2 linked regions of the Notamacropus eugenii genome follow. Each later gene encodes a partner of the first gene's protein in a complex. Links are inferred from orthologs where the notes say so. Each region holds a gene or a part of one and is shown on either strand. Other genes may lie near its edges.

What was found. Proteins that work in one complex are often made in the same cells at the same time.
Region 2: ACAD9 (region 1) and TMEM126B share a complex: the UniProt entries of both Homo sapiens proteins name them as parts of the mitochondrial complex. The link is inferred for Notamacropus eugenii from reciprocal best matches to the Homo sapiens genes ACAD9 and TMEM126B.

What each region holds. Positions count from the first base shown.
Region 1 is NC_092874.1:425,042,025-425,049,400, reverse strand, and holds the start of ACAD9 (complex I assembly factor ACAD9, mitochondrial), read right to left. Parts: upstream 3,044-7,376; 5' UTR 2,881-3,043; coding exon 2,710-2,880; intron 1-2,709. UniProt on the Homo sapiens protein: As part of the MCIA complex, primarily participates in the assembly of the mitochondrial complex I and therefore plays a role in oxidative phosphorylation.
Region 2 is NC_092876.1:115,835,782-115,843,007, forward strand, and holds the start of TMEM126B (complex I assembly factor TMEM126B, mitochondrial), read right to left. Parts: upstream 3,016-7,226; 5' UTR 2,756-3,015; intron 1-2,755. UniProt on the Homo sapiens protein: As part of the MCIA complex, involved in the assembly of the mitochondrial complex I. Participates in constructing the membrane arm of complex I.

The sequences.
Region 1 (7,376 bases):
AGCCCTGGACCAACTGCTGTTCTCCCTCTGAGAGCCGAGTTATCAGGCCACTTGTGAATACCTTTCTCCCAGCAGCTATTATTGTTAATAATACTCTGCCAAATGGGTCCAAGCTGTATGTCAATGTGACCTGTCCTGTCTTGTTTGAGGTTGCCCCACTTAAGTTCGATGACTTTTGCTGCTTTTCTTAGAATCGTAGGACATTAGATGAGCCCACATATAAGATTACAATCTATGTTCTATAAAGTTACATGCCTTTTTTGTCCAAGATGACCCTTACATATCATTAAGGTATAATATGTTGCTGAATAAAGATGAGACCACAAAAATAATTACCAGAGAACAGAAATGCAAGATAAATGAAGATACAGCCAGACAGCTTCTACGTGTTCTTAGAAAGTTCAAGTCACCAGGTTCAGTCCAGGTAATGGAATAATGGGGAGATATAATGGTTGATCAAAGAAGTACAGGTGGAATAAAACTGGAGAAGGGAAAATGCTGAATGAGAGAGAAGAGAGGAGAGTGAGAGAAAGGAGAGAGAGGGAGAGGGGAGAGAGGAGAGATGAAAGAGAAGTAGGGAGAGGAAGAAGGGGAAGAAAGAGGAGAGAAGGAAGGAAGAGGGGGGAGAGAGGAAAAGAGGGAGCAAGGGAGGGAGAGAAAGGCAGGGAAAAGAGAGAGATCTGTCAATTATACATGAGGGAGCTTGACTTTGATTATTGAAGAATCCTATAATGCCATTACAAGTGCTGCTCTGTGAGCATTTAGGGAAGATGCAGTTAGCTAGGCTTCATCAAGAACAGATGGTGCCAGACTCATCTTGTCCTGTTTCTGACAAGGCAGCTGAAATGATAAACCAAAGGAATGCCATGAACGTAGTGTTTGCTGCTGCTGCCGAGGCATTTCAGTCACGTCCGACTCTCTGTGACCCCATTTGGGATTTTCTTGGCAAAGATCCTAGAGTGGTTTGCCAGCTCATTTTACAAAAGAGGAAACTGATGCAAACAGGGAAGTGACTTACCCAGGGTCACACAGCGAGTAAGTATCTGAGGTCAAATTTGAACTCAGTTCTTCCTGACTCCAGACTGAGTTTTCTATCTAGTTCATCACCTAGCTGGCACAGTAAACTCAGACTTTAAAGCATGTTAACAAAAGCCTCTTACGGACAAGGCCCCTTGTGGACAAGATGGAGTGGTACAGGCTGCATCAGTGGTGTCAAACTCAAACAGAAATGGAACCCTATAGCCACATACTGAATTGGAAAATCACAAATTGTAGTATCTATATTTTATTTTTATTTATTTTAACATTTTCAATTACATTTAATGTGGTTTGCAGCATTCAAATTGAGTTAGACACCTCTGGATCAGACTAAACATTTTAGGTGATTTATTCAGATTCAGAACCAGTTTAATGACTAGAACCAGAGAGTAGTCCTTAATGAGCTGATATCAATTTAGTTAAGTTTCATATCAAATTGCCTTAATCCTATGTTAGCAGTGACTCTAGACCTGGGCTCAAATTCACCTCAGATGATGACTAACATTCCTGGGCCCCAGTTTCCCCATCTTTAAAAGGAGGAGGTTGACCTAGATGACCTCTAAGATTTCTTCTAAGTCTAGCTCTGCGATTTTACACAGTAAGAGTCAAGGACAGCCTAAGCTGCTTGCAATGGGCACCTATATGTTAAAAATCCTGGTAAGACATAGACAAGATTCATGGGAGTGGACAGATTACACCCTGACTGGAAGGAGGTAATATTCACATACATTTATAGTCTCATCTAAGCAGGAACTATATAATCAATTGGCTGTAGAGAACCACTAAAGGTGTTGTCAGTAAGGCAAGGATGAATTTAAAGTCGTACTTAAGATTTATCAAGCACTATACTTAGAATGGATTAAGAAAAAGTACATACAGCTTAAAGCTGTACTTAGTGAACTTTTATCTGGCAGCATCCTCGGGATGGATGAAGAAGTAGGGGGTAGAGACTTCTCCAACAGTGACAGCCTTGAATTCAGTTTGCTGCTGTGGGTGGCTGTCAGGGGAGAGAAGTGGGGTAAGAAAAAAACATTAGGGAAAAAATTTTTTGTTTTAAAGATTATCGGACTGAAAGTCAGGTCTGTGTTCGTCCCGCAGTCCCGCCACTAATTTACCACGTGAAGGTGGGCAAATCCCTTCCCCTCTCCTCAGCCTGGTTCCTGACTTTTAAAAGGAGATGAGGGTTTTTTCGTCTTTGCTGGCAGTCTGGTGAAGCCTATGGGCCCCTTCTCCGAATATTTTCAGACCTTATAAGAAAATGCTACCTTTCAGCTAGAGGATAGCGACGATAAAGGTGCGTGTGTGTTTGTTTCTGGTCCAAGGTCTCTAAAAGGTCTCAGAAGAGCGGTCCGTGCTGGGGGACGGGCAAGGGCAGGTGCAGAGGCTTTGGACGTGACATCCACCTTGGGGATCGCTCGGACTACGGGGGCCCCCGGGACTGCCGGAGAGGGGAGGGAGCGGTCCAGCCGTGGCACCACGCCCGTCCCCGAAGCGCGGGTTCAAGCCCGGACTGCTGCCTGCCTCCTGCCCATTTTACAGATGAGGGAAGCGAGGCTCGCAGAGGCAAAGGGACTGGCTCGGGCTCCCACAGCTGGCCAACAGCGGGGCTAGACAGGAGGGCCCGGGAGGTCCAGGCCCCCTCCCCACCGGCCGGGGCCGGCCGGCCGTTACCTTCTGGATCTTCCCCAGGAACAGATCCTTGGCGTAGGACTGGCACCGCGGACCGGTGCGCAGGTGCCGCCGCAGGCTGCCCGCCGTCCGCGGCCGCTGGAGGAGGGTGCCCAGGACCCGGCCGGAGCCCACCCCGGCCGCCCGCAGGAGGAGGAAGCCGCCGCAGCTCATGATGCTCCGCGTGCCGGTGCCAAGCTGCCACAGAGGAGCCCCAGGCGCCGGGAAAGGCACGGGCGCCTCCCGATTGCGTCACAAGCGGACGCCTCCAGATGGCGTCACGAGCGGCTACGGGCTCCCGGCAGCCCCGGTCCCTCCCCTCCAGCCTCCCTTCTGTGGTCCGGATTGCGGCTGCGCAGCCTGAAGTGCGGCACGTGGAGCGAAGGCTCCTCCTCCCCACTCCTTCTCCCTATTTATTCCCTACTAAAGCTGGATGATTCGGACCACCGGGTCGCATGTGACGGAGCTGGAGGCGCTGCTCCAGCGTCAATTAAGCGCCTTCTTTGTGTTGGGCCGCATCCACACGGTCCTGGCAGTCCAGGAGTTCCCACCTTAGGGTGCGTGTCAGTGACTGCGTCCTTATGAGGCGCCTATGGTATAAAAGCAGGGCAAGCTGAGCGGGGAAGGCACTCGCAGCTGGGGCCACTCGAGCCGAGTCTGGAGGGAGAGCATTCCAGACGGGGGGCACAGCCAATGCAAAGACACCAGGTCGGGAGATGGAGAATTGTGGATCTCTATTGATTATCTCCAGTTTATCCTGTCTGTATCTCCCTAGATGGGTGGGTTTTTGTGAGTGGTTCCCTCGTTAAATCGTGAGCTCCCGACTGGCAGGGGTGGTCACTCTACCAATGCAGGTCAACACTTTTTTGGGAACTCTTACTCTTAGCCTAGAGCCTGGAGAAGTGAAGTGATATGCTAGTCTCCCAACCACGAAGTGTCATGCTCTTTCTGGCTTTGAGTTAGGCTCCATAGTCACCACACCATGTTGCCTCAACAAGCAATTTAATGTTAAAACTCAAAGCAAACTATTCCTTAACTGCTTTAGCATGCGTTTGTTTCTCTGCCAATTAATAATTTTATAAAGAACACTGAACTAGGAGCTGGAAAGCCTGAATATAAAGGACTGCTCTGCTGAAGACTTCCCCATCACCCCTGGAAAGTGAGTGAGATTCTTTGGAGCAAAGGTGCTACAATGTTTCCAAGTGAGGCCACAACCAGATTACAATGTAACCAGGAAGTATTTAACATGATAAAAATACAGTAGAACAACCATAATATATTATTTTTCTAAGTTAACACAGGTCAGCTGGAATCCTTATGTGATTTAGTGGCCACCTTCTTTGAGTTTGACCCCAGGGTCAGAAGAGGGGAGATCAGAAGCCAGAACAGTTGAAGGGGAGACATGAAGCTAGAATAGTTGTGTTAGAGACAAACTACTACTGCAGGAGAGAGAGATGATTATTTATAACCCTGGGCCTGCTGCCATGACTGTCTCTGTTCTAAAAGAGGGCCAAATGACCATCCTTATATTAATAATGCACTAGTCTTATTAATAAAGTGATTAAATTACCCAGAAACTATGTCTCTTGAACCTTTTAAATCATCACACAGAGGTAGTTTTCAGAGGAAGAAATTAAAGCTATCTATAGCCACATGAAGAAATGCTCTAAATTGCTATTGATTAGAGAGATGCAAATCAAAACAGCTCTGAGGTATCACATCACACCTATCAGATTGGCTAACATGACAAAACAGGAGGATGATAAATGTGGGAGAATTGGAACACTAATTCATTGTTGGTGGAGCTGTGAGCTGATCCACTTTGGAAGTATGCCCAAAGGACTATAAAAAATTTGCATACCCATCGATTGAGCAATACTGCTTCTAGGACTGTATCCCAAAGAGATCGTAAAAATGGGAAAGGGTCCCACGTGTAGAAAAATATTTATAGCAGCTCTCTTTGTGGTGGCCAAAAACTGGAAATCAAGGGGATGCCCATCAATTGGGGAATGGCTGAACAAATTGTGGTATGTGAATGTAATGGAATACTATTGTACTATAAGAAATGATGAACAGGAAGACTTCAGAGAGGACTGGAAGGACTTATATGAACTGATGCTGAGTGAAAGGAGCAGAACCAGAAGAACTTTTTATACAGCAACAACCACAGTGTATGAGGCATTTTTCTGGTAGACTTAGTACTTCATTGCAATATAAGGATTTTAAAAATTCCCAATGGACTCGAGGTGAAATGCCTTCCACCTCCAGAGAAAGAACCGTGGAATTTGATCACAGAATGAAACAGACCATTTTCTTTTGTATTATGTTTTGTTTTGTTTTATGATTTCTTCCATTCATTTTAATTCTTCTATTCAACATGACTAAGGTGAAAATGTATTTAATAGAAATGTATGTATAGAACCTGTATAAAATTGTATGCCATTTCAGGGATGAAGTGGGGAGGGAGGGGAGAAGGAGGGGGAGGGAGGGAAAAAATCTAAGACATAGAACACTGAAAACAAATAAAATAATTTAATTTAAAAAATCATCACACAGGAAGGATAGGATCTGATTCATCTTGGTACCCACCAAATGACTGATCACACACCCCTTAGGGTTGGGCCATGACTTCTCAGAGGCACCAGCCCCCACTTTGGAGATGATTTCTAACCCTGACCCCAGGCATAGAGTCCCTGATTTCCATAACTGAGTCAACTTGGCTCCATGAGTCTGTGGCAGGTACATTCACCAAGTAATAACTAGTGTCTAGAATGAGGAACAAAGGAAGTGGGGATAGGTTATTTAGCACTTCAGATGCCTAATTTTCTGAGCGGCAGCATAGGATAAAATGTTGAATGTGGTGTCGGAAGACCTAGACTTGAATCCTGCCTCAAATAATAATCTTGTGATCCTCAGCAAGCCACTAGGATTCAGTTTCTCATTGGTAAATTGTGATGTACCCACACTACTTATTCCTCAGGATTGTTGTAGGGAAAACACTTTGAAAATGTCACAGTGCTCTATAAATCTGCGTTGTCTATATCTGTAGCTGAAGAGTTTCAATCTCTTCTGAAAAGAGAGAGATAGAATTCCACTTCATCTATTCATTAATTCATCAAATTCAGGTAGGCATTTACAAGAACTGTGCTGAACTTTTATCTACCACAGCCTAGCTTCATACCCCAGAAATAGTTTGTGATGGAAAATCCTGAAGGCTAGTGAATCTCTGACACAGCCTCGCTGAAAATTTCTTATTTTGGAAAATTTTAGCCAAAGAACAGAATCTAATGTCTTCCAAGTATACTCTAGCACACTAGTACATGGAAAGTGAAGGGTATGACCAAGGATCAGAGTGGTACAGCTAATAATTATAATGCCAGAAAGCATTAATGACTAGTCCTGACCATGTGTGAATTGGCAAGTCAAGAAAATTCTGAGTACGTAAAGTAGGCTGTGAGAGATACTTCTTCAGCAGTGGTTTAAAAAAAATCTATATGCTGCAGAATAGCATAAACCAGATGGCTGCCATCTCATATTGCTAGGTAGAGGCTGCCTGATTAGGTAGATTATCTAAATGGATCTTCTGTACTTTTCCATTATCCTTATTAATTAGTGTTAGTCCTTTCATTGGTGCAGAAGACTGAACAATACTGAAAAACAGCATAAAAATTTTCTTTATTGAAAAAATGGTGAATAGTTTTTGATCCCAGCATGAAGTATTTTTCAAAAGAGATTTCAGGGGGCAGAACAAAGATGGTGGAGTGAAGGCAGGGACTTGTTTGAGCTCTCCCTAAACTCCTCCAAATACCTTTAAAAATTAAACAAATTCTAGAACAACAGAACCCACAAAATGATAAAGTGAAACAAATTTCTAGCCCCAGACAACTTGGGAGGTCAGCAGGAAAGGTCTGTTGCACCAGGGTGAGAGAGAAGCACAGTCTGAGCTCCAGCAAATCTGGAGCAGGTCTTGGTTACGAATCACTGGCAGCAGAGGTAGATTCCAGACCTCTCAGCCCATAGATGCCAAAGACAACTTAGAAGGTCAGCAGGAAAGTTCTGTTCCACTTGGATGAGAGTGAAACAGAGTCCAGCCCCAACCTCAGCAAACCAGGAGCAGGCCTTGGGAGTGATTGAATCAGCACTGGAAAATAGAATAAATGAGGGGGGAAGGGGTGATGGAATAGGATGGAGGGAAATACAGTTAGCAATAGTAACTAACTGAAGCAAGTTTCACTGATAAAGGTCTGATTTCTCAAACAAACAAAGAACTGAGTCAAATTTATAAAAATAAGAGCCATTCCCCAAATAATAAGTGATCAAAAGATATGATCAGTTTCCAGATGAAGTAATCAAAGTTATTTATAAGCATATGAAAAAATACTCTAACTCACTATTAATGGGAAATTCAAATAAAAACAGTTCTGAGGTACTCACACCTATTAGATTGACTAATGGTACAGAAAAGGTAAATGACAAATGTTGGAGGGTAAGTGGGAACATGGGACATTAATGCAATGTTGGTGGAGTTGTGAACTGATTCAACCATTCTATAAAGCAATTTGGAATTATTCCCAAAGGGTTATAAAAGCATACATACCCTTTGACCTAGTAATACCATATTAGGTCTGTATCCCAAAAGAGATAAAAAACAATAAGGAAAATGACCTATT
Region 2 (7,226 bases), on another chromosome or scaffold:
AAATTACTGGCTTTAAAATTACTAGTAACCTCTTACTTACCCAATCTAAAGGCCTTTTATTTATATTTTTTTGGTTGTGAGGATCAGATGAGATCATATTTGAAAAATGTTTTGTAAACTTTAAAGCACCCTATAAATGATGACAATTATTATTAGTTTAACCTAAGATCAAAGCAACATTCCTGGCTGCCATGTCAAGTGCTGAATGCCATTGTTTTTTTATTTATTTAAAAAAATTTTTTCCCTCCAAATTTATTTGTTTTCAATTTTCAACAATCACTTCCATAAGCGATAATAATCATAATTTTCTCCCCTTCCCTCCCTAATGACCTCTTCTTAATCCTCATCTTTCTTAACCTCTTTGCAGCCTCTCATCACCTTCTTCTCCATGATAATCTTTTCCTTCTGGGTTTTCGTGACACTTGTCTCCTGGTTTTCCTCCTACCTGTCCAACTGCTCCTTCTCCAGCTCCTTTGCTGGATCTTTATTCAGATCATGCCCACTAACCATGAGAATACTTCAAGGCTCTATCTTGGGCCCTTTTCTCTTCTTTCTCTATACTATTTTGCTTGGGGTATCTCATCAAATCCCATGGATTTAATGATCATTTCTATGCAGATGATTTTCAGATCTATTTATCCAGTCTTAAACTTTCTCCTGACCTTCAGTCTCACATCTTCTGGATATCTTAAAGTCCTAAAACTCAACGTGTCCTGAACACTCCCCAAGCCCCGCCCTCTTCAGAACTTTCCTTTTATTGTCAAGGGCACCACCATGCTCCCAGTCATCCAGGCTCTAAACCTATATGTCATCCTTGATTTCACACTTTCTATTATCGTTCCACATCTAATTTGTTGCCACGTCCTGTCGATCCTACCTTTAACATCTCACCTCTCTCCTCTGATAGTCACCCCTCTGGTACAGGCCTTTATCTCTTCCTACCTGGAATTACTGAAAGCCAGTCAATAAACATTTACTAAGTTTCAGGCACCGTTCTAAGCACTAGAGATACAGAAAAATACAACAGACAGTTCCTGCCTTTGAAGACCTCACAGTCTAATAGAGAGACAGCTCACAATCTAATGGGAAGATACAACAACTATGTACCAACTTTGTACAGGATAAACGGAATAATAAACAGAGGGAAGGCACTAGCACTAAAAACGTGTGGGAACTTACTTTTTTGGGGTGGGGGGAGTTGGCTGTCACAGGGGCACCACTGGCTATAATGTATAACATGCAGCTCAAAGTGCTTTGTGCCTTAATAAGATGATTTATTGTCCTCATTTTACAGAGGATCTTTTCTTCCTTCTTTTTCTCTCTCTCTAGTTCACACAGAGTATCACACCCTTACGTGCAGGTGCTCTGCCCAAAGGGAATGTAAATTTTAATCTCTGAATTTTTTTTTTCTTCTAGAAGACCAGTCTTAACCCCAAATCACTTAGGCTCTCATAGACTGGCCAACAATAGGTCCCAGGCCAAGCCCTACTTGGTCACAGCCCTGACTGACTCAGAATGAATGTAAGTAGCAATTATTTTTATTTTGGATGGAAACCCTAAGGGTCTTCCCCTCCCAGATCTGTTTTTTTTAAAGTAGTTATTCTTTGCCAAATTTTTTATTAAGCCTTAATCACTGAATGGACATTGCCTCAGTCAAACTGAGACCAGTTAAAGACCTTGGCTGGAAAAGGCCCCCACTGCATCCAGGGCCACCTCCAGCTGTCCTGACCTACATCTGGCTCCTGGACTGAGATGGTTCTAGAGAAGAAAGCGAGGCTGGTGACTTTGCACAGCTCTCCCTCACTTAAATCCAATTCACTTGCATATCACGGCATCACCTCTTGACGTCACGGTCCTCTTCCAGAACCAAGCAGCAACAGTGGATGAAACTGAAGCTCAGAAAAGGGGCTTGCCAGCTGAATACAAGATCAGCATTTCAACCTGGGTCTTCTGACTATAAAACCAGGAGACTTTCTATTATACCAGACTTGCCCGAATTTAACAGTTACACAAGAGAATCACAGTCTCACCGTTAGAGGGAACTTCTGCAGTCACCTAGTCAAATTTGCCTTTGTAAAAAAAAATTCAATTTAGTTTTCCCAACTTCTATCACAACTACTACAAACATTTATATCAGGCATTCTGTGTGCCGGCTCCTGCTAAGCACTTTACAATTATTATCTCATCTGGTCCTCATAACAACTCTGGGTCCTCATAACAACCATTATCCCCCCCCCCTTTTTTTTTTTTTTTACAGATGAGTAAACTGAGGTAACGGGCTAAATAACTCGCCCAGAGCCCCAGTGAGGAGATGTCTGCAGCTGACTCCTGCTTTCTAAAATACAGTCTCCTCCATCGCTTCCCTGACAGATGGTCACCCAGTTGTCTGCTACGTGGATGTGGACGGAGGGCCCGGGGCTTGCAGGCAGGGAGCTAAGTTCGAATCCTGCCCAAAGGCACTTCCGGGAGGTTTGCCCCTAGATACGTCACTATTTCTCTGGGCCTCAGTGTCCCCATCTGTAAAGTAAGGAAAGTGGGCTCCATGACCTCTAGGACCCTTCCACTCCACATTTAGGATGCTCTGATGAGGGATGCAGAATTTTCCTTCTAGGAGAGCAGCTTATCAAACACGGTTCTAAGCCCGAGGGGCCTGTCACGTGCCCTGCATCGGTCCCGGGGTGGCCTGAGAGGAAACAAGCCCCCTCGGAGCCTCGACTTCCCCCACTAGAGATAAGGACGCGTTCGCACGGCCTACCCCACAGACCAGCTCGGAGGGCTGGGCCAGGCTTACGGTCGGACCCCCACGACTGCGGCGGCTTGCCCACGCCGACACCTCTGCTACGTCTCCACGCGCAGCCCGCTCACCGAGAGTCCCGCCGCTCACACCTGGGCGCCGCCATCTTGCGCGCTCACATGACCCACAGTGGCCCCCGTCCCTCCCGAGCTCTGGCCCCAGGCCCCGCCTCTTACCCCAGCCCCAGCACGAGGGGGAGGGAGGCCCGCCCACTACGGTCAAATGCCGCGCCCTCTCTTCCGATTCCCATTGGTCTCCGCTGCCCCGGAACCGGGGCCGTTCATTGGTCTGTGGGAGAAGCCGGGCGGGTCGCTCCCGCCCACCTGGCGTTGGCCGGGCAACCACTCCGCTCTCTTCTCCCCCTCCCTTTTTCAGGACGAGCCCGCCCCTCCTCCCTCAGCCCCCACCTGCCTTCAGGCCTGGGTCCCCCCTTTGGCTGTCGTGGACCCGAGCGGACCGGGGTCTCGCGTCTCCCCAACCCGGATGCAACCCCATCTCGAGCCCTCCTATGTCAGCCGAGCCCCTGCCTGCTCCCCCCTGCCCCACAAAGGAAGTGGCTTGGTGGGGGGCGATGACAGACCCCAGCCCGTCCGGGAGGCTCTCCCATCCCCCCGCGCCCCAGTGGGGGACCCCCGGGGCGTAGTCGTGCACCCCCCCGCCCCAGGCATCCTAGCCAACGTAGCCCCAGCGGAGCCCGCACCTCCTTCCATCTTCCAGAAGCCCCTAACGCGAGTTACATAACTGCTGCTCCTGCCGCCTCTCCTTGCTCCTCTCAGACAAGGCAGGGGTGTGGGCACCGGGGCTGGGGCACGGTGTGTGTGTGTGGCGGCCAAACGGCCCCCCAAAAGGTCTCTCCCCCTTTGTGCCAGGGGCTACGGTGCGGGTAGGGCTGGGGGCACGGAGCGGGCAGAGTGCCGGGCTGGCGCTGCCGAGATCTCCGAGGCAGCCCGGGGAAGGTCCGGGTGGTGGAGGTGGTGGTGGTGTTTCCTTTGGAGAAAGGGGGTCTTGTGTTTTTCCTCACCCCAGGCAGCTGCTTGGATGAGAGGAGATGGCATGATGTGAATGGCTCCAGGGTGAGGAAGGCTGCGCCGCCAACTCACACTGCACCCAGTGCCCACTGAGAGCGCTGCCACTTTAACGTCTCCATGCCAGAGCGGCGCTTTCCTGCTCCCTCGCTTAATACATGGGAGGATCAGAGTGGCATTCATTAGAGAACAAGCCTGGGTAGCTCGGGCAGCAGAGAAGGGGAAAAAGGAAAGGGACTGGACCTGGATGCTGTCTGATCTGAGGGAGCGAGATCGGAAACTTCTTATTCCCTGAATAGAAATCGGCCTTTCGGTCCCGGGGGCACATCTCAAACTCACCCAACCTTTTCAGAAATCAGAGGCAAAGAACTTTGCTTTTTAAAAAAAGTTTTTCTTTTTTTTTTCCTGAAAAGTTCTCCTCCGTAGAACTGGGCATCTTTTATCATTAAATCTGGATGGCTTTGAAGTTGGTTTTGTAGAGTAGTGAGAGTTGTTTAAATTTGGGTTGTGCCTTGAGTCATTAAACTTACACCAAATTTGCTGCCTGAAGAGGAATTCTAATAATGTTTTCTATACCAACAATAATGTTCTCAGTTTTTTTATAGATTAAGAAATATTTTATAAGAATTGAAAGACAATTTTGTGAAACTCCAGTCTTTTTTTTTCCCTTCTAAATTCTGTGGGAGGTGTTAAAAGTTTAATTGTGGAAAAAATATTCAACATTACTTCATATCTTGGTGAAAATGAAGACTGAGCTTGGATTTCAAGACTGAGCGGCCGAAGTACTTTGCCACAGCCACCTAGCTCTTGGCTTCAGCCCAGTTGGATAAAGTTGATACCTAAACAAGTCCTTGAATCCAGTGACTGCAGAGAGATCCAAGAATGCCAGTCAAGAAGAAAGGTGGGCTATGAAGCTTCCTATCTAATATTTGTATCTTCTGTTTTGTTTGGTTCTGGTACTTGTCATTTAAATTGTTTTGCATTTGAGAAGGAAACTCTTGCTTCAGTTGGGGCAGCTCTCTATTTATTATGGTAACACATGGTTAGTGTCACACTCTACAATGCTGTTACCAAAATGAAGTTGTGCTAAAATAAGTAGTTAGTTGTGATTTCATCCCTTAGACAATCTGCAGGCATTATTTGTAATAAATAGATTCAATGCTAAAATTTCACTTTTTCTAGCAATGTCTTTGGTATTACTCATGAATGTAATATAATTAAACTAAATAGCTTGTAAACTACAACAGTAAAGTTGTATATTTGTGTTGGTACAGAATAAAATGGTAGATTTGCAGTATATCTTTTATTTTCTAAGCAAAAACAGACAACTTTTACATTTGGGTTCACTCCAGTATAAATTTTCAATTAGAAAATGTGACTGAGCATATCATTGGCAAGTGATGAAGTTTTAAGTTGGACTCATCAGTTCCATGCGTTAGGAAGTTCCTAAGTAGGAATTTTCTCATCTTTCATCCCCTAAATTCTAGTCTGATCCTGAATACGTGTTGGATTGGGTGAGATTTGGTGTTCTACTTCACTGTGGAGCACAATGCTTGGCACACAGTAAACTTCGCCTAGTAAATGCTTGTTGACTGACTGCCTGGGAGGAGATTTGGGGTTGATGCAGTGGACAGAGCACTGAACCTGGAGTTGGGAAGACCTGAGTTCAAATACAGCCTCAGACGTTTTCTAGTTGTATGACCTTGGGAAAGCCACTTAACCTCTGGTCTGTCTCAGTTTCCTTATCTGTAAAATATGGATAATAATGGCACCTACCTCCCAGGGTTGTTGTGAGGATCAAATGAGACTATTTATAAAGTCCTTTGTTATGTAAATGCTGGTTATTATTACTCTGCTATGATCTGGTCTGTTATAAGTATGTTTTCAGAAATTCTGAATCAAACAATAAATGAACATCCAACGGCTAAAAGCATCATTCATGCTGGTCAACATGCATACAAATACAACAATATGGGCAAGTCATTTGACTTGCTGTATTTTGACACCTGTAATATTATGGTTTAATTCTGGGCCCAAATTGATTATGTGTCCAAGAGAATTGCTCCAAAGGTTCAACCTGGCTCTGTATTCTGCGTAAGTCGAAGGACTAGGGGAGAGCTAGATCAGTTCTAGAACCTTTTAAAAATAGTCACCTGAAAGGCAATGTATGCTCCCAAGAGAGCCCCCGATTTGACCCTTTCTTATCAAGGTTTTAGATTGGGAGATGCCCTGAAAGTGGTTCAGATTTCTTAGGATAACCAGTAGATTTTAGGTGACCCATGGGAACCTCATACCATATCCACCATAAATCTAACCTAAAGAACGAATCTGCCTGGAAACCAGACAGGCTTTGGTATTATAATTAATTATCCTTTTGGATTTTTGAGTCCTACTTTCAATTTTACTCTTCTTACTCCTTTGTCTTTCCCCCATCTATTATATTTGTGTCCTTATTTCCCTGTTCTTAAAAAGTTAGCGACTGTACAAAGAATAATAGATATTACTTGCATGTTAATGAGGAGCCAAGAAGAGAAGAGTGGCAAGTTGAAGTAGGTACAATGGTCTAGGAAAAACAGGTTAGCTAAAAAAAAAATGAGTTTAATGTTTAAAAATTACTCAGGTTTTGAGTTTGTGTAAAGTTATTTTCTTCTTAAGAACAGGTTTATAGATAGCTAATAAACATATATGAAAGTTGTTCATACATCCTAAGAAAGTTGAATGTTTTAGTTTTTATTTTTCTTGAAACAAATGGTTGATTCTAAAATGCATCAATGTTTTTTAGGGAATCAAAGTTTGTATTAACATATTGCATCAAATATGTATTTGATTATTGCTTAAGGCATGATGGACCATGTAATTCACATTCTGAAATGGCTTATTTGGAGACATTTATTATGTTCATGTGTTTTTAAGTGTTCATGATATTGACATACTTTTCAACATTAAAGACTACTATCCAAACACTTCATTGCATCATTGAATCATTGGATCTTGTATTCCAAAGGGATCTTAGAGGTCATCTAAGCTAATCTCACACTCAGGCTAGAACTTTCTTTACAGTATCCTGGAAATGTATTCCTGTAGTTTGTGTTTAAACACTGCCAACCTATATTCCTTCTTGGAAAAATCTAATTGTTATATAGTTCTTCCTTGTTATTGAACCTAAATCTCCTTCCCTGTAACTTCCACCCAGTGATTCCAGTTTAGCCTTCTGGAGTTACATATACTATATAGAATCTCTCTCATATATGATAGCGTCTTCAAATACCTGAAGACTCATCATTGCTCCCTTAAATCTTCTGTTTCAGATGAAGCATACCCCATCCTTGGTTCATTGTGCATGTGTATGTGATTTTTAAAAAAATTGTGTTAAATGACTTCACATAGTGAACTATATTCCTATTATA